4 linked regions of the Macaca mulatta genome follow. The protein of the gene in region 1 interacts with the protein of each later gene in a pairwise test. Links are inferred from orthologs where the notes say so. Each region holds a gene or a part of one and is shown on either strand. Other genes may lie near its edges.

What was found. The genes of interacting proteins can lie anywhere in the genome.
Region 2: the proteins of HOMEZ (region 1) and SNRPB2 interact in binary tests that used the Homo sapiens proteins (3 or more experiments, as listed by UniProt). The two-hybrid records come from large-scale screens. The link is inferred for Macaca mulatta from reciprocal best matches to the Homo sapiens genes HOMEZ and SNRPB2.
Region 3: the proteins of HOMEZ (region 1) and PRKAA2 interact in binary tests that used the Homo sapiens proteins (3 or more experiments, as listed by UniProt). The two-hybrid records come from large-scale screens. The link is inferred for Macaca mulatta from reciprocal best matches to the Homo sapiens genes HOMEZ and PRKAA2.
Region 4: the proteins of HOMEZ (region 1) and MAD2L1BP interact in binary tests that used the Homo sapiens proteins (3 or more experiments, as listed by UniProt). The two-hybrid records come from large-scale screens. The link is inferred for Macaca mulatta from reciprocal best matches to the Homo sapiens genes HOMEZ and MAD2L1BP.

What each region holds. Positions count from the first base shown.
Region 1 is NC_133412.1:96,372,091-96,376,127, reverse strand, and holds the end of HOMEZ (homeobox and leucine zipper protein Homez), read left to right. Parts: coding exon 1-1,399; 3' UTR 1,400-2,919; downstream 2,920-4,037. UniProt on the Homo sapiens protein: May function as a transcriptional regulator.
Region 2 is NC_133415.1:67,266,064-67,270,959, reverse strand, and holds the start of SNRPB2 (U2 small nuclear ribonucleoprotein B''), read left to right. Parts: upstream 1-1,769; 5' UTR 1,770-1,866; exon of another isoform or gene 1,867-2,201; intron 2,202-3,478; 5' UTR 3,479-3,516; coding exon 3,517-3,580; intron 3,581-3,975; coding exon 3,976-4,148; intron 4,149-4,896. UniProt on the Homo sapiens protein: Involved in pre-mRNA splicing as component of the spliceosome. Associated with sn-RNP U2, where it contributes to the binding of stem loop IV of U2 snRNA.
Region 3 is NC_133406.1:183,976,264-183,981,187, reverse strand, and holds the start of PRKAA2 (5'-AMP-activated protein kinase catalytic subunit alpha-2), read left to right. Parts: upstream 1-1,797; 5' UTR 1,798-1,828; coding exon 1,829-1,922; intron 1,923-4,924. UniProt on the Homo sapiens protein: Catalytic subunit of AMP-activated protein kinase (AMPK), an energy sensor protein kinase that plays a key role in regulating cellular energy metabolism.
Region 4 is NC_133409.1:138,482,923-138,487,663, forward strand, and holds the start of MAD2L1BP (MAD2L1-binding protein), read right to left. Parts: upstream 3,128-4,741; 5' UTR 3,109-3,127; coding exon 3,063-3,108; intron 2,595-3,062; coding exon 2,329-2,594; intron 1-2,328. UniProt on the Homo sapiens protein: May function to silence the spindle checkpoint and allow mitosis to proceed through anaphase by binding MAD2L1 after it has become dissociated from the MAD2L1-CDC20 complex.

The sequences.
Region 1 (4,037 bases):
CATTGCCCTTCTCTGCCTACGTTATGGGTTGCAGATGGAGAAAGTCAAGACTTGGTTTATGGCCCAGCGCCTCCGCTGTGGTATTAGCTGGTCATCTGAAGAAATAGAAGAAACTCGAGCCCGAGTAGTCTACCGTCGGGACCAACTCCATTTCAAATCCCTTCTCTCTTTTACTCATCATGCAGGACGGCCCCCAGAGGAGGTGCCTCCTCCTCCAATGCCAGCTCCAGAACAAGTTGGTATTGGAATAGGTCCTCCGTCTCTTAGCAAGCCCACCCAGACGAAAGGATTGAAGGTAGAGCCTGAGGAGTCCTCTCAGATGCCACCACTGCCACAGAGTCACCAGAAATTAAAGGAGTCCCTGATGACACCTGGCAGTGGAGCATTCCCCCACCAATCAGATTTTTGGCAACATCGTCAAAGCAGTGGCTTCTCAAAGGAGCAGGCAGGCAGGGGTCCCAACCAATCACATGGCATAGGAACTGCTTCCTGGAACCACTCCACAACTGTCCCCCCACCACAAGCTCGGGATAAACCCCCACCAATTGCATTAATTGCCAGTAGTTGTAAGGAGGAGTCAGCATCTAGTGTTACTCCCTCTTCTTCCTCTACCTCCTCTTCTTCTTTCCAGGTACTGGCTAATGGAGCTACTGCCACCTCTAAACCCCTCCAGCCATTAGGCTGTATCCCACAGTCAGTGTCACCCAGTGAACAGGCATTACCCCCACATCTGGAACCAGCCTGGCCCCAAGGGCTACGGCATAATTCAGTACCAGGTAGGGTTGGCCCCACAGAGTACCTTTCCCCAGATATGCAACGCCAGCGAAAGACCAAGCGCAAAACCAAAGAGCAGCTGGCTATCCTCAAATCCTTTTTTCTACAGTGCCAATGGGCACGGCGTGAGGATTACCAAAAGTTAGAACAGATCACTGGTTTACCTCGGCCTGAGATCATTCAGTGGTTTGGTGACACACGTTATGCCTTGAAGCATGGGCAACTAAAATGGTTTCGGGACAACGCAGTACCTGGTGCCCCTAGTTTCCAAGACCTAGCAATTCCTACACCACCACCATCAACCCGCTCCTTGAATGAAAGGGCTGAGACATCACCTCTGCCGATCCCTCCACCCCCACCGGATATACAACCCTTGGAGAGGTACTGGGCAGCCCACCAACAGCTACGGGAAACTGATATCCCTCAATTGAGTCAGGCATCAAGGCTTAGCACCCAGCAGGTACTGGATTGGTTTGACTCTCGATTACCTCAGCCAGCTGAGGTGGTAGTTTGTCTAGATGAAGAAGAGGAAGAGGAGGAGGAAGAACTGCTAGAAGGTGATGAGGAAGAAGAGGAGGAGGAGGAAGATGATGATGATGATGATGATGTGATCATACAAGACTGAGTGGGGAGCTGGGGGAGGGGAGGTCTGTTATGAAAAGATGAAACAACTTAGTAACTGTTTAAACAAAGAAACCACATTTTTAAAATTACCTTGTGGCAGAGAACTAAAAAGCTTTGTGTTCTTCAGGGTGGGTGGCAGGGGAATATAGTGAGGGTGGACCAGGGAGAATGACCATAGGGCACTAAGTAAGGCTGGGATTGGATGAGCAGAAATCCAGAGCTCTAACCTTAGTGTAGAGAGTGCTAAGGATCTGGGGAAACCATGGGCTGGCAAACTGCTCTTGCTCACCTCGTGTCTGCTGTTCTTTTCCCTTAGTGTACTATAGAGAGGCCAGACATTGGCTCCACCACTCCAGGAGGATTGGAAAGGAGGAGTAAAGGATTCTGATTTGATTGATGATTCCAGTGCATCCCCAATCCCACCATCTTACCTGGAATATAAGGCTGCCTTGCACCCCGTTTCTGAGCACAAGTCTGTGCATGATGCAACTGACTCTTACTTTTTTTCTTAATAACTGATCATTTCCTAGACAACCAAGATTCTCAGTAAGTCCCAATCTCATCACAAATATTAATATTTCCTTTTCCTCATACCAACTTGACTGTTTCACCTGCTTCATGACTAAATCACAGGTGGCAGAATATTTTCGGGGTTTTTTTTTTTTTTTTTTTTTTTTTTGAGATGGAGTCTTGCTCTGTCACCCAGGCTGGAGTGCAGTGACGCAATCTCAGCTTACTGCAAGCTCTGCCTCCCGGGTTCATGCCATTCTCCTGCCTCAGCCTCCCAAGTAGCTGGCGCCCACCACCATGCCCGGCTAATTTTTTTACATTTTTAGTAGAGATGGGGTTTCACCGTGTTAGCCAGGATGGTCTTGATCTCCTGACCTCGTGATCTGCCCTCCTCAGTCTCCCAAAGTGCTGGGATTACAGGCGTGAGCCACTGTACCCCGCTATTTTCAGTTCTTATGCTGGGACCACTTTGCTTTGTAGTTTTTTCTGTCTTTCCAAAATCCTCACTCTGTTCACTGTTTGTCTCAGGGTAAATCTTCCCCCACCGAGCTTGTGAAAAACTTTAATAATTGGGTAGAGAATAATTTAGAATGGATATTTATTGGAGGTGGTAATTAGGGAAGATGTCGTTTTAAAAAGTAGAACTGTGTTACAAAGGGGTGAAAGAGGGAATAGTTTCCCCTTGTTGAAGGACAGTGGAGGTAGGTTCCAGGTTTGGTTTTACAAACCTGATAACTACCTCCTGTCCAACTTGACAGAGACTAAATTTTCATCTTTTTGCTGTCAATTTGTTTCTGAAAAAGAGACTTTTTCCCTCTCTTTATAGGATCTGTCTTAGGGACAGAGGGACCATCGTCTTTAAGTGAATTAATTATTGATGTTTTAGAATGGTTTTCATCAGTTGGGATCAGCTATATGGCAAATAGGTATCATCAATGAGTTAACCATCTAAAAATAAAAGAGTGGAAGCCCTAGAATGCTAGAACAATAATAAAAAGGCCAAAAATAAAATTGTTTCTCTCTCATCCACTTTGCCACTCCTATGGTTTAGGGATTAATGGAACCAAATCCATTAACATTCTAACTCAGCATACTTTTAATTTATTGTTTTGAAGGGCAGGACTTATTGAGGTAAATTAAAAGAAGAATAAAAACTTTAAAAGGAAGTAGTTCAGCATCTGTCACCAGCCAGGTTGTTTCTCAGCCATCAAATGATAATGACTGAAATTTCTGAGGCTTCAGGAGTAACAGAGATACAACAATCTTGGAGGTAACTCCATTTGCTACAGGACAGGCTCTTGCCTAAAAGAGAAGGTGTCTAGAAATGCCTTTAAAATAAATTCAGAGTACCAGAAAGGGTATAGGGCTCCTAATTCAGATACAAGGTCATTCCCAAGAGCTAATTTATTTCTGGCAGATGCCTGCTATTTTCTGTTTTCCCAGTATTTTTGCTTAAGGCCAACTTGTGAGTGGCTAACCTATTTAATTCCTCATTTCTGCCTTTTAGTACCCAAAGTAGAATACATGTTTGATCTCAGTGGTAGTGTTGTTTGCCCATTCCACCATTCTAGAACTTGTAATAGTGATAGAATTGTAGCAATAAAAGGGTGTCGTCTTAATTTTACTATCTATATACTAAACTGAAAATCAGTGTCTCCAACAGTTGTTTTCAATAGAAAGGAAAATTAGCATTTAATAGTAACTAAGCATAGAGGAAACAATAGGCAAATAGAAAATGTATAATAAGGACAAAGAACAGAGATGTTACTTGTTAACATTGGCAATGTGACAGTATATCCATAGCTAAAAATGAAATCCAGAAATGAAACAGTGATGAGTATATGATCCATCACAATCCCCATTCCCAACTCCCAACCAAGCATGATGCCAATAATTATTTTTATGACCTTTGTTTCAAATTGTAGGAAATGAGGGGAGCTACCAAGGTCTTCTGGAAGAGCTATAAACATCTTCCTGAAGCACTAGCCTTTTGTAAGACCTGACCACTGTCCTGGGAGGTGATAAGGGTGAATAGGGTAAAGATGGAGGGAGCATAAGGTATAGAGTGAAACTAGGAAACAATGTAGGGATAAATTTTCCAGGGCCATCACCCCTAATGGGTACTGGAG
Region 2 (4,896 bases), on another chromosome or scaffold:
TTTTCTTCTAGGTTGGAGTGTCTTTGCATAATCACATCTTATTCTCTTTTAACAGTTATCAACTCTTGGCTAGATCCCCTTATATAATAAAGAGTATAGTTTATTCTCAGTAGTTTAGCCATCCTCATTATCAACAAATAGAACTAACTGTTGAGATGCTCATACTAATACGCAGAATAGCTTGTCCTTTGTTATTTAGAAATTGTTTACATTAAGTTTATATTCTCTTTTAATTTGTTAAAGATATAATTCTTTGACTGAGATAGGAATTTCTCATTTATTTCTTCTTATTTATTTATTTATTTATTTCAGAGATGAGATCTCACTGTGTTGCCCAGGATGATTTCAAACTCCTGGCCTCAACCAGTCCTATCTCAGCCTCCGCAAATGCTGGGATTACAGGTGTGAGCTACTACACTCAGCCATTTCTTGTAGTATTAGATCTATATAATAAAAGGATGTTTTTCTGTGATCCCTTAACATTTTCTACACTCATCTGCATGTTCAAAGCATATTTGTTTACTGTTGCCTAGTTTTCCATGTCAGTCATTCATTTATCCAATACATATTAATTATCAGTCACTATTCTCATTACTAAGGGTACTTGAGTGAACAGAGCAGACAAAATCCCCACCCTTAAGAAGCTTATATTATTTTCAAGTTGTTGCAACTTTAGGTGTTTTTTAAAAAATAAAAATTCCCAGCTGATAAAACTAACTTATTTGACAGCTACCTGCCTCACCAATATAACCAAGTTATAGCCAGAACTCAGAAATAACATTTTTGAGCCTCACCAATATAACCAAGTTATAGCCAGAATTCAGAAATAACATTTTTGAGCATTTATTTTGTGTCTGGTAATGTGCCAACCACTTTACATTTATTTTAGCTCATTTAATGCCTACAACAACTAGAAGGAGATACTATTAGGATCCCTATTTTACAGACGAAAAGAGTGAAGATCAGAGAGATTAGTTAAGCAGAGGGTACAAGATTAGGTTCCACTTGACTCTTAACAACCATTTCATATTCCAGGTGATGCTTTACAGACATCTGATGAATGGATGAATGAATGAAAGCATGGGAATTTTTTTGGGAATTCCCATTCAGCTTGGCATAAATACTAACTCGTTAGACTACCCTAGAAAAATCTAGACTTTTTGTGGGAAGAAAAGAGTGGGAAGGGTGGTAGGGAATTATTTTTTCGAGTGAGTTGAGGCAGATGATCTTACAGATGATTGGGTTCTACTCAGCATGGTTGCCTTATCTGGTGAGAGATGAGAATTGGGCAGACACCAGTTCTGTTTGCCCTGGGCCCTCAAACTGGGTAGCCTCTGAGATTCAAGTTCATCAGCAGAGTGTTGGAGGACAGTTCCTGCAGAGCCCCAGGAATCAGAGGAGACTTGGAGGCCGGAGGAACCGGCTATCCTAAAGGTGATTTTAAACCGGGGCAGCCAGAGCCCAAAGAAGGGCGAAACCAGGACTAACTGCCCCGTAGCATGAGAGGCAGAGCCTGTAAAATTACATAGGATTTGTAAAGGTGGAAGGCACTCTTGCGCGGGGCAAAGCTTCGCAAGGTCGTGGTAAGGGAAATGATTCACTCTTCTTCCCTATTCCCTCGCAGCATTGTCCCCACAAACCCCGTCCCTTTCCCCATTTCCATTTCCGGACTCTTCTCCTGCCCGCAGGGCATACGCACGCGCAAAGAGATTACCTACGGGCCGCCAGAGACCAGGAAGCATCGATCTGCTCTGCGCTCGGCTTGTAGACTTGTGGGCGCTCGATTGAGGAGCGTGGCAACGTTACTTCCGGTGCCTGGCTCCGTTTCCTGCTTTTGGTTCTTACGGGAGACTGCGTAGGCCTTAGGTGGGTTCGTGCACCTTTTACCTCGCTGTTTCGGTTTTCCTGGCTCCTCGGCCCTTCTCTCCCCTGTTGCAGCTGGGAGCGGACGAAGCGCGAAGCTGGGGTGGGGACGCGTTTGGCCCGGATTTGGATCTCGGAGTACCCGAGTAGGCTGGGGGCGAGGAAGAGATGGGAGACTGACTCAGGGGCCGGGCATCGCGTGGCAGCTCCCTCGGACTTCGTTAGGGGGCCTCGGGCGAAGGTGCTTGTGTCTGGAGAGGCGGGAGGCTTGCGCTTACGAAGTAAAGGATAATGTCCGTCTGCTTGTGCGAGGCGCTGACAGTTCACTGCGCTTTCAGGTGTCTTCCAGCGGTTTCCTTTTGGTAGTGGCGGGTAATTCAGGGTGCCCCTGTAACAGTCCAGCCCACGATCAAACCTCGCATGAAACCCCGCAAGAGCCTCCCCTTTGTCCCCCTACCTTCAGTTTGACCTCTGCCTCAGTCACTTCCCTTTCGTCGTCTCCTTTGTGACCCTTGCCGCTTCTCCAGATTTCGATTTAGGGGGTCCCAAGGCTTGGAGAAGCGTTATGTTTTACCTGTTACCTGCACAAGTGCAGCCCCTGCTTGTAGGCTCTTCCCTTGTCAATCATCCAATGCTATTCACGTACAGTGGATGCTCCGTAAATATTTGTGAGATAAAGAAATATGTGGGGCACACAAGGAAATCAAGCAGCTTCACAGTTTGCAAGTAAAAACCACGTTAAAAAAATGCAATAGTGTGGTGGACGAGGAAGAGAAGTGTAGAGGAGAAAGCAAGGGCTGAATTTCCAGGCTTGATGCTTATTAGCTGTGTGACCTTAGGCACGTTCCTTAACTGGTAATAGCTGTTAATAATAGCTACTTTAAGTGCTTACCGTTGATGCAAAACTGTGCTAGAACTCATTTAGTCTTCTGAGTTCGGTTGGGTAGGTTCTGTTACCATTCTCATTTTACTGATGAGGACCTGACAGATTAAGGAACTTCCCTCAGGCAAACAGCTAATAAGAAGCATAAATAGGATTTGAATTCACATATGGTTGGTACTAGAATCTGAGTTTAACGGTCATGCCACACTGTTGTCATTGAGCTCCCTTCTTTCAAGTCGGTTAGAGGTAACCTTGGAGTCCAGACAGCTTGGTGATACTGTATACAAATTAAGTAATAGGTATGGAAGGACTTTGTAAGTGCACCCAAGAAGTAGTTGGCAAACTCCATTAATGTCTAACCTTATGATTTTCACTGGATGTACATTTGCTACTTGGTCATTTTTCTTCAAATCTACATTTTAAATTATTGAGGAGGTGGAAAGAAAATATCACTTGTCATAAGTGAAAAGTAAGTGTGAAAATAAATGTGTTGAATTAAATGATGTTACTAAAATCTGGCTAGGTATTGGTGCTCCAAGTTTTGAGCATGAGAAACTCTTCTCCTTTTGTATGAAAAGGAGGGCTAGTAGGTGCTGGAGGTACACTAAAGGCTTCAGCCAAACTGACATCATCTAACAATTGGGATTGAAAGAGAAGTGAAAGGTTAATAATTCGTGTGTTGTGTCCTTATGCCACAGTCCAGTATAATTTACTCCTTCCTTTTTATAACAGATTTTTTACTGTCTCCTTCTGAAGAATTTAACACAAACATGGATATCAGACCAAATCATACAATTTATATCAACAATATGAATGACAAAATTAAAAAGGAAGGTAAGTGCTTTTAAAAATACTTGTTCACTACTAAAATGTGTTTATTTACTACTGTCTTAAAAATTGTATTGCCTCAAAACCTCTTACCTCGTCGTCTTAGTGCCTGAAATAATGGTTTATTCCATTACCTATAGGGATTTGAAGACTTTTAAAAAACAAAAATAGGTAGGAATTGACAGTGTGTACAGTCTGTTTCTACTCATAGATATAATGGTTTCATCTGACTTATAAAATTACATATAGCCAATGGGAATAGTATATGTTTTTATAAACATTAAATATATATAACTATAAATAAGTGAATGGTGGGGAGGCAACTCAATGCAGTATCATTTTATGAAGACTTTTGTCATTATCTTATTACCAATGACTTGTTTCTTTTCTAATTTGGACAGAATTGAAGAGATCCCTGTATGCCCTGTTTTCTCAATTCGGTCATGTGGTGGACATTGTGGCTTTAAAGACCATGAAGATGAGGGGGCAGGCCTTTGTCATATTTAAGGAACTGGGCTCATCCACGAATGCTTTGAGACAGTTACAAGGATTTCCATTTTATGGTAAACCAATGGTAAGCCAATTCTATTATTTCACTTTAATCAAGAAATTAATGATATTGATGGTACAGTAGATTTGTAAATATGCTTGAAACTGTGGCTGTTGCTTTCTGCTTTTAATTACGTGTGTTTGGGTTTATGTGTTTTTATAGAAAAACAATAGCAGTAGAGTTTAATTTATGACGGTTAAGATGGCTGAAAACAAAATACATTGAGATGTAGAATATTTAAAAAAATAATGGCAGTCTAGGCAATAGTCTTATCTCAAAAAGTTAGAAATTAATAATAACCTGGAAGACTTGAAAAGAAACCTGTTTGTAAACTTGTAAAACATTACAAAAGTCAGAAGCTAAAGGGGAAATTCAGTCTGAAGTTTTAGAAAATGCTATAGTGAAATACTATATGTCAGAAGCTACACAGTCTAGATGAAACAGTGATCTAAAGAAAAATGATAGGTTCAAACTCATAGGTTTTAGGAATAACAATGGAAATGAAATTGTTTGGAGAGTTTTAAACTCAGGAATGACATAATGAGATTCACATCTAGCTGCTGGATGAAGGTCGCATTGTGGGAGGGACAGAAAGGAAGTGGGAAACTCAGGAGGCCCTTGATGTAAATCAGAGATGTAGAGGATTAGATAAGGGTGACCACAGAGTGTGAAGCAAGGGATTCTCTATGTCTGAGGGAATATACCGTACCTTGGGTGTGGATTCCAAACTGCTTTTTTTCTGCGATTAGAATGTGATGTGAAGGAGTGTTGG
Region 3 (4,924 bases), on another chromosome or scaffold:
AGCTCAGCACAAAAATAACTGGCTATTTTCTCAAAATTGCCAGCTAGGTAGAGTGATTCCTAAATGATACTTCTTGTCAGCAAGAAAGATGATCTGAAGAATGAACAAAAATAGCCTCTGTTTAACAGCTGTGATATCTATAATTTATAAGCTGTGATCATCTCTCATCAGATTGTCTTGATGTTTGGATGAGAATGAATGTTTGAAATTTCTATATTTAGTACTTCTCAGAAAACAAAATTTTGTTGTGTCCTATTCTTTTTTATCAATAATTTCAATTTACATATAAACAGTGTTCAAGAGACTTCATGTTTGAGGAATGTGACCTTGAAACTCTACTGGCATGCAGTGCTATAAATGTCTGACTAATCCTTAATTACTTATCCCCAAACAGCAATATTTTTTTAGTTTTAAAATTTTTTCTTTGGCAAATAAAAATTGTATATATTTAGTATGTATATGTTTTGAAATACATATTGTGGAATGTCTATGTCAAGCTAATTAACAAACGGATACGAATCTTTGTGTGTGTGTGGTGAGAAGCAAATAAACTTTAATCACTGAAATACGGAACAACATTAAAGAATGGGACAACATGAAGGAAGGAAAGGAGGGAAGGAAGGGCGGCAAAGAAGGAAGGGAGGCAGAGATCATCACTTTATTACCTAATTCTTTGCCAGTCTTTTTTCTTTTTTGGGGGGGGCGTGGCGAGGTCAGTCTTTGAACACGCTACCTAGGCATCATGCTTCTAATTTCCTCTTACCACTCTTTTCACTTCTATATCACATTTATTCTTCCTTTAATATGTGGCCTTGTATTGGCCTCGCCCTTCACAATTCCTCTGTCGCTCACGTATTTTACTTTCTGTGGGCAGAATGTTGTTTGCCTTTCCACGTCTTTCCCATTTCCCTCTTATACAGCTGTATCACATTTCGGTACTATATGTTTATATAAGCGCGTGGTAAAACTACTTATTTATATAAGCATGTGCTAAAATACACTCGAGCAAATACCGTGACTGAGATTTTTTGGAAAACTGTGGGCAAATTAGTTACAACTGAGAGCTCTGGCGGAGAGGGTCTCTTCTATCTACAGGACAAAATAATTGGGAATTACAGAATAAGTAGAGGAGGACAATTCAAGAGCGCACAGAGCTGCGTGCGTTCTCCCTGTGCCGCGACCTGTATCCAAAAGCCTCAGACGAAACTGAGGGGCTTCCTAGAGGCTCTTCTGCCACTGCCCTTTTGACCAGGGCCCTTCCCGCAGTCTCCCCTCTCGCCTCTTCCCTTTTACAGCCCCTCGCTCCCCACACCCGAGGCTCGTCTCTTCTTCCAGTTTGACTTCCACGTCTTTCCATTCCCTAGAAACGGGCCCCAGCCTCACCCCCCATTTTCACCCCCTTCGGTTTTCCTCAGAAAGGGCACCCTGGCTCCCTCGGGACCCTCGCCCACCCCACTTCGCAGCACCTGCCGCATCCGTCCCTCACTCGGACCCGGCGCACCTGGCGCGGCCCCTCCCGCACTCCCGCCCAGCGCCCCGCGTCCCCGGCCCCCGCCGTCGCTGCCTCTGGCTCTGCCGCAGGCGCCTCTCACTCCCGGGAGCCGGCGCCGCGCGCTCCCTCGGCCCCGCCCCGCCCGCCGCTCGCCCGTTGCTTCCCACCTGGGCCCGGCGCGCCCAGCGCCCCCTCCCGGGACCCCGCGCAGCCCCGTGCCCCTCGCGGCTCGGGGTCCGCCCCCCCGCCCGCAGGGCCCGCTGCACTGTGGGTAGGCGGCGGCAGCGGCGGCGGCGCGGAGCGGCAGGCGGCGAAGCGAGGCCGCGCGCGCGGAAGATGGCTGAGAAGCAGAAGCACGACGGGCGGGTGAAGATCGGACACTACGTGCTGGGCGACACGCTGGGCGTCGGCACCTTCGGCAAAGTGAAGAGTTGAGTACGCGCTCCGGACCGCTGTGCGAGCTGCCTGGCTTGCGGGAGGCCGGGTGGAGAGGCGGGAGCCCCGGGCCTCGGGCGGGCGCGGGGCTCGGCGGCAGGTGGAGCGGCCCCGGGCCGCGCGGAGCTGGGGCCCCGGGAGGGTGGCGCGCACCGCCTCGCCTGGCACCGGCGCCCGGTTCCCGCAGGGTCCAGGGAAGGGGGCGGGGGTGTGGGCTGAAGACGGGCGTCCTGGGTTCCAGGTCCCGCGCCCATCCGCCTTTCCGGAGGTTGGAGCAAGGCACTTCTGTCTTCTCTGGACCTCAGTGTCCTCTGCAAAACCGGGAGATTGGACTCTATCCACGAGGCGCCTCCCAGCTCTGAGCCTGTAGGCTCAGGGCGGGGATCATGCACGCTGAGGACTGAGGCGCCGTTTCCTGCCGGGTGCCCTGTTAGGTGCTTTACATGGGATCTCATTGAATCCTACAGTGACTCGGTCAACATGTCCTCACCCTTAAGGTGAGAAAACTAAGACCCCTAGAGATGGAGTAACAAGCCCAAGGTCACACAGAAATGGGCAGTACCAGAGTGAAGTCTAAGATGTCCTCCAATTCTGGTCTTGCTGGGAGGTCCCTGCCATCCCCAGATTCCTTCATGTTCCAGGACTCTCGGTTTTTGGGGGTGACTGTTTGGGGGATGCTCCAGGGGCCAGAGGTTGTGAGTCTTTCTTCCTGGGGTGTTGTTAAACGCTGGAATGCAGCTGGATTGGGTCAGAGGTTAATTAGAACAGAGAGGTCTGAAGGTGGTTGTGTTTGTAAAATGGCTATGGGAAGACTTCTGGGGTAAGGGAGAGAAAAAGTTTCCTTGGTGTTTGGAGGATTGAGGTTGAGGAGGTCAGGACTACTAAGGCATATTCTGCTAAGGTCTGTCTTCATGGAGATAGGATCCCATTTTGGGTGTAGGAAGACAGGCTGCTTTTGAAATGTTATACTTTATTAGAGTTAAGTTAACTAGTAAGAATAGTTGTGTTGAGCTTTCATTTGTTTTCTTTTTTGTTAATTAGTCACATGGGATTTAATTAACCTGCCTTCTCTCCAGAATAGACACAGTTGTTTATTAAAAATACTTTGTTGTAAATCCAGAATTATAAGTGAAACATTGGCTTTTTTTTTTTTTTTTTTTTTCTCTTTGCTGAAGAAATGCTGAGTAGGCAGTCTGGAAATTTTATTCTGAGGTCTCTATTTCCTTGTAAAATTCGTATTTTAACCCCAAGTCAAGGCTGTTGAATGAGTAGAAGAGACTCATTGTTCATTCCTGTGGTAAGAATCAGCTCCTGTTTTCTTGCACGTGTTTAATACCCATTCATTTGTTCAAAAAACTCTGAGCACCTGCAGCGTGGTAGGCACTGTTCTAGGCAATGAGGATACAGCAACGAAAAAACGGATCTTTTCATGGAGCTTTCTAGTAGGGGAAGGCAGACAGTAATCAGAATATGTATGTAAAAGGTATATTTAATTTTACTGAGAAAAATGAAGCAGGGAAAGGAAGATAGTTTTGTGAGGTTGGCAGTTTTCAATAAGGTGGTCAGACAAGGTGGTATTTTTGCAATGACCTAAAAAGTTTGTAAAATTCTTTGCGGTTCTGTGAGGGTTATGAAGTCCTGGGTTATTTTTGAAAGACCTTATAAGTAGAGTGGATAGTTAGAATATGTTTAAGATGAATACAGGACGATCCAGGGATTGTAAGGGATACAGTAAGCCTGTAATGTTACTTGTCATTTAGTATCATTATTAAGGACTATTGTGTTACAACATTATACAGTTGCTCAAGCAAACAGTGCCTTTGACATTTGGACATGTACACTCTCAAAGTTATATAACTTAACCCTATGTCCTTTCAAATTGTGTTAAAAATTTTTGCTGGTCTTTTTAAGTTTGTATACTGTAATCTGAATGTAGAGTAGAATACCCATCAGATCAATCAGTCCATTGTCAAAGACAACTTAAATCTCTTGTGTGTACTTTTGAATTGTTTCCAGGCACTGGCTTCTTGAAATATAAACAGAAAGAACTTTGATTTATGAGAAATCCTTTTCCTGGAGAACCTCTGTCCAATGAACAACCAGTTGAAGGAGTTTTCCTAACACTGTATTAGATCCTCTGAAAAGTGATACTATGGTTTCCTATCCAAGATTATGATCAGTACAATTGTTTAATAAAAATTATAGAAACTGCTACAATCTACAGTTACTCATATAATTCTTCAAGGGACAAGTGAAACAAGTCTTTTTTTTTTTTTTTTTTTTTTTAAACTGTGGCTCATGCCTGTAATCCCAGCACTTTGGGAGGCTGAGGCGGACGGTTCAGTTGAGGTCAGAAATTTGAGACCAACCTGGCCAACATGGCGAAAACCCGTCTCTACTAAAAACACAAAAATTAGCTGAGCGTGGTGGCAGGTACCTGTAATCCCAGCTACTGAGGAGGCCGAGGCAGGAGAATCGCTTGAACCTGGGAGGCAGAGGTTGCAGTGAGCCGAGATTGCGTCACTGCACTCCAGCCTGGGTGACAGAGCAAGACTCCATCTCAAAAAAAAAAAAAAAAAAAAAAAAAGGAAAACAGCTTTATTTAGGTATATTTTATATATGAGATTCATCCGTTCTAAGTGTACAATTCAATGATTTTTACTAATTTTGCCAAATGTTGCAACCATCATTATAGATCAGTTTTAGGACATTTGAGGACACCACAGTAAGATTCCTTATACCCATCACAGTTAATCTCTTTCCTACCCTCAGTCCCAGGAAATCACTAATCTGTTTTCTGCCTGTATAAATTTGCTTTTTCTAGGCACTTCTTCATAAACATGATCATTCAATATGTCATCTTTTGTGTCTAGCTTCTTTAAAAATGCTTTTGAGATTCATGCATGACAGAGCATGTGTCATTAGTTTGTTCCTTTTTATAGTTGAATAATATTCCATTGTGTGGATATACCACATTTTCTCTATACAAAACCAGTT
Region 4 (4,741 bases), on another chromosome or scaffold:
GGGTGCCTGTAGTCCCACCTACTTGGGAGGCTGAGGCAGGAGAATAGCATGAACCCGGGAGTCGGAGCTTGCAGTAAGCCGAGATTACGCCACTGTACTCCAGCCTGGGCGACAGAGCAAGACTCTGTCTCAAAAAAAAAGAAAAAAAAGAAAAGAAAGAAGGTGAAGAATTAAGAGTTCAAGAGAGCTGAATACCAAGTGCTGACAGAAGGGACTCCCAAGGGATGCAAACTGATACACACAGCAGAACCCCAGAAAGGTTTAGGAAGTGGTGATACAGGCACCACAGAGGCAAGAATGAATATAGGGGAAATGAATGAAAATCTGTGTCAAGATGCTTAGATCATCTGCCAAATTTCTCCCCCATCCAGAGGGAAGACTTTCCAATACTATGTTTAAGGAATCCCCCCAAAGAGATCACCAGGTTGCCACCTAATCTCCTTATAGTGAAGTCTATAAGCTCATAAGGCCCAGGCATGCACACAGAGCTTGCAGTGATTTGTTCTTAAATATTCACCAGACACAATAAAATTCTCCAACATGAAAGTCAAAGACCAGAACAAAACAAATGGAGAATGGATTCTAGAAGAAACTGAGATGCCGCAAAGAACAAAGAAAAACTTCAAAAATTAAATAATATCCTCAGGCAAAAGAAGTTCATGGCCTGGTGCGGTGGCTCACACCTGTAATCCCAACACCACTTCGGGAGACTGAGGCAGGTGGATCACCTGAGGTCAAGAGTTTGGGACCAGCCTGGCCAACATGGTGAAACTCCGTTTCTACTAAAAAAACAAAAATTAGCTGGGTAAGCCAGGCGTGGTGGCTCACACCTGTAATCCCAGCACTTTGGGAGGCCAAGATGGGCAGATCACTTGAGGTCAGAGTTTGAGAGCAGCTTAGCCAAAATGGCGATACCCCGTCTCCACTAAAAATACAAAATTTAACTGGGTGTGGTGGTACACACCTGTAATCCCAGCTACTTGGGAGGCTGAGGCAGGAGAATCGCTTGGAACCCAGAAGGTGGAGGTTGCAGTGAGCCAAAATCGCTCCACTGCACTCCAGCCTGGGCAACAGAGCGAGACTCTGTCTCAGAAAACAAACAGGCTGGGCATGGTGGCTCATGCCTGTAATCCCAGCACTTTGGGAGGCTGAGGCAGGCAGATCACCTGAGGTCAGGAGTTCGAGACCAGCCTGGCCAACATGGTGAAACCCTGTCTATACTAAAAATACAAAAATTATTTGGACATGGCGGCGCATGCCTATAATCCCAGCTACTTAGGAGGCTGAGACAGGAGAAGCGCCTGAACCTGGGAGACAGAGGTTGCAGTGAGCCGAGATGGCGCCACTGCACTCCAGCCTGGGTGACAAGAATGAAACTCCCTATCAAAAACAAACAAACAAACAAAATTAGCCAGGTGTGGTGGTGCATGCCTGTAATCCCAGCTACTTGGGAGGCTGAGGCAGGAGAATCACTTGAACCTGGGAGACTGAGGTTGCAGTGATCTGCGATAGTGCCACTCTCCTCCAGCCTGGGTGACAAAGTGAGACTCCATCTCAAAAAAAAAAAAAACAACAAAGCAAAAAAAAGTTCATACAGAAATTCAACAACAGGATGCTATTAAAAAGAAACATGCAGGCCGGGCGCAGTATTTCACGCCTGTAATCCCAGCATTTTGGGAGAGGCCAAGGCGGGCAGATCACTTGAGGTCAGGAGTTCGAGACTAGCCTGGCCAACATGGTGAAACTCCATCTGTACCAAAAATACAAAAATAAACCGGGCATGGTGGCACGTGCTCTTAGCTACTGGGGAGGCTGAAGCACAAGAATCGCTTGAACCTGGGAGGCAGAGGTTGCAGTGAGCAGAGATCACGCCATTGCATTCCAGCCTGGGCAACAGAGCAAGACTCTGTCTCAAAACATAAAATACAAAAATTAGCTGGGTGTGGTGGCGGGAGCCTGTAATCCTAGCAACTCAGGAGGCTGAGGCAGGAGAATCCCTTGAACCCAGGAGGGGGAGATTGCAGTGAGCCAAGATCTCACCACTGCACTCCAGCCTGGGCAACAGAGCGAGACTCTGTCTCAAAAGAAAAAAATGCGAAGAGCCAGTTCATTAAGACCAAATGCAACACGAGTTTCAGAAAGAAAGAACAGGAGAAAAAGCCAGAAGGGTTAGGCTACCAAAGACTAGAATGGGGAGAAAGTGACTGAAGCCCTGGAAGCTGCTTAGTCTCTCAGGCTCTGAAGATTTCTTAGACCCCCTTTCTACCTGCCTCCCATCTAAGAGCCACAAAGTCTTCCCACCAACTTGCTCCCAAAGCCTGTGCCTACCTGGGGAGAAGGTTTTCGGTAAAAGTTCTTAAGCTGTTCATAGGGCAGAGGGAGTTGCTGGCGTTGGTACATGATATGCTTTAGAAGTTCACAAGTAAACTGACAGCAGCCTTCCTGGCTTACAGGCCCAGGAAACACCACTGGTACTATGCAGTCTCTTGGGCAAAAGGGCTCCGAAGGGTTGAGAGGTTCCTGGGTAGAGCTTGTCTCAAGCAGTTCTATCTGGGAGGCGTGAGTTTCTTCTGACTTCTCATACCACTCCAAATCTGGTAGATGAAAAGAGGGACAAGAGAGAAAAATTTAAAACCTAAAAGCCAAAGTCAGTCTTCTCATTCCCTGTGGCCACCAAACCAGCCACCCTGAGAAAGCAGGCACTCCGACATACGCCCATACCCTCCGCAGCCTACAGTGTGGGCCGTGGCAGGGAGAGATTCCTGATCCCTGTTGCCTGAGGAGATTTAATTGACTGAAAGATAGTGGGGGTATTTCGGAGGTAGTAACTAGGGCTCCCCGCTCAGAAAGCAGCGGGACTTGATCTGGGGAAATGAGTCAAAAGTGTAGTCAAGCAGGGTCCAGTGCGACCCACGGCGATGGAGTCACAGCTAGAGCCTTGTAGGACACCCGGAAGACAGGGAAGATGGGCTAGGGAGAGGACCAAGGGATAAATGGAGGGCGCGGAGGTAGGGAAGAAACGGGTCCCTAAGGCTTCCCAAACTCTGGGCCCCACGCCTTACCAGGGACTGAGGCTGGGGACAGAACCTCCGCCTCCGGCGCCGCCATCACGACCTCCTCCCCTTACTCCTTGCGGTTAGAATAAAGGTCCCGCGGGGCATCATGGGAAGCCCGCGCCTCCACTTCCGGTTCAGTTGGGCCGGAAAAAAGGCGCGGCGCCACGGCAGTGTTGGGGAGGCTAAGTGGAGTTGGGATTTGATCCCTCCGTTCCTTCCTTAACACCCTGGCAAATATACGCCTAACCCTTGCCCAGCAAGAACCCAGGCGTTCTCAGCCAATGAGCGCTGCTTTCCAAAAGACACCAACCCTCACGCATCCATTCACTCCAGCATTCACTACTCACTGTGCACCTACTTCGTGCCAGGCCCTGTCCTAGGTGCTGGAGACTCAGCGGAGAACAAGCCAGGCGCGGACCCTGTACTCAAGGGGTTCACTGCCTGTAGATACCATACAATGTGATGAATTATACAGAAGGGTTTACACGGGGTGTGGAAGTGAAAAACAAGGGTGCCTGACCCAGAGAGGGTAGGGGCTGGGAAGGAGTGGTCCCAGAAGAAATGTGTGAAGCTGTGACCTGTAGGATAAGTCAGCAAGGTAAAGAGGAGGGCCCAGTGCTCCAGGAGACCTTGAGACAAGAGCATACTCTGTTCAAGGAATGAAAAGAGTTCATATTATAAAGAGTTAAGGCTGTAGTGAACAACAGGAGCCAGATCATGGCAGGACTGTGTAAGCCATGTGAGAGTTTGGACTTGATCCTGTAGTCAGATGGGGAAGCTTTGAAAGGTTTAAGTAGGAGAGTGGCATGATTAAATTTACATCTTATAATCTCTACCCTGGCTGCAGGGTAGAGATTGGATTACAGAGAGGATAAGAGAGGAGGCAGGGATACCAGTTAGAGGTAGTGCAATTACCTGAGTACTTGATGAAAGCAGCCTAAACTGCTAGGGTAGTCACAGTGGGGTGGAGATAATTGGGTAACTCGATATATTTAGGAGGTCCAGTGAACATAACTTGGTGATTGATTTACAAGGAGGAGGAGGAATAGAAATAGACTGACAAGAGGCCGGGCGTGGCTGCTCACACCTGTAATACCAGCACTTTGGGAGGCCAAGGCAGGTGGATCACAAGGTCAGGAGTTTGAGACCAGCCTGGCCAACATGGTGAAATCCTGTCTCTACTAAAAATACAAAAATTAGCTGGGCATGGTGGCATGCACCTGTAATCCCAGCTACTCAGGAGGCTGAAGCAGGAGAATCGCTTGAACCGGGAGGCAGAGGTTGCAGTGAGCTGAGATCACGCCACTGCACTCCAGCCTGGGTGACAAAGCAAGACTCCATGTCAAAAGAAAGAAAAGAAAAGAAGACTGACAAGAAAACAAGCAGGTTTCTGACTTCAGCAATTGTATGGCCAGTTGTGCCAGGAGTTTGATACCAGCCAGGACAATATTGGGGACCCTGTTTCTGCAAAATTAAAAAAAAAAAGTTTTTAAAAGTTAGCCAGGTGTGGTGGGTGCACATCTGTAGTCCTGGCTATTCAGGAGGCTGAGGCAGAGGATTGCTTGAGTCCAGGAGTTCGACAGTTACAGTGAGCTATGATTAAGCCACTGCACTTCAGCCTGGGCAGCAGAGTGAGACCATGACTCAAAAAAAAAAAAAAAGAATGGAGGAAACACTAAAAGAGG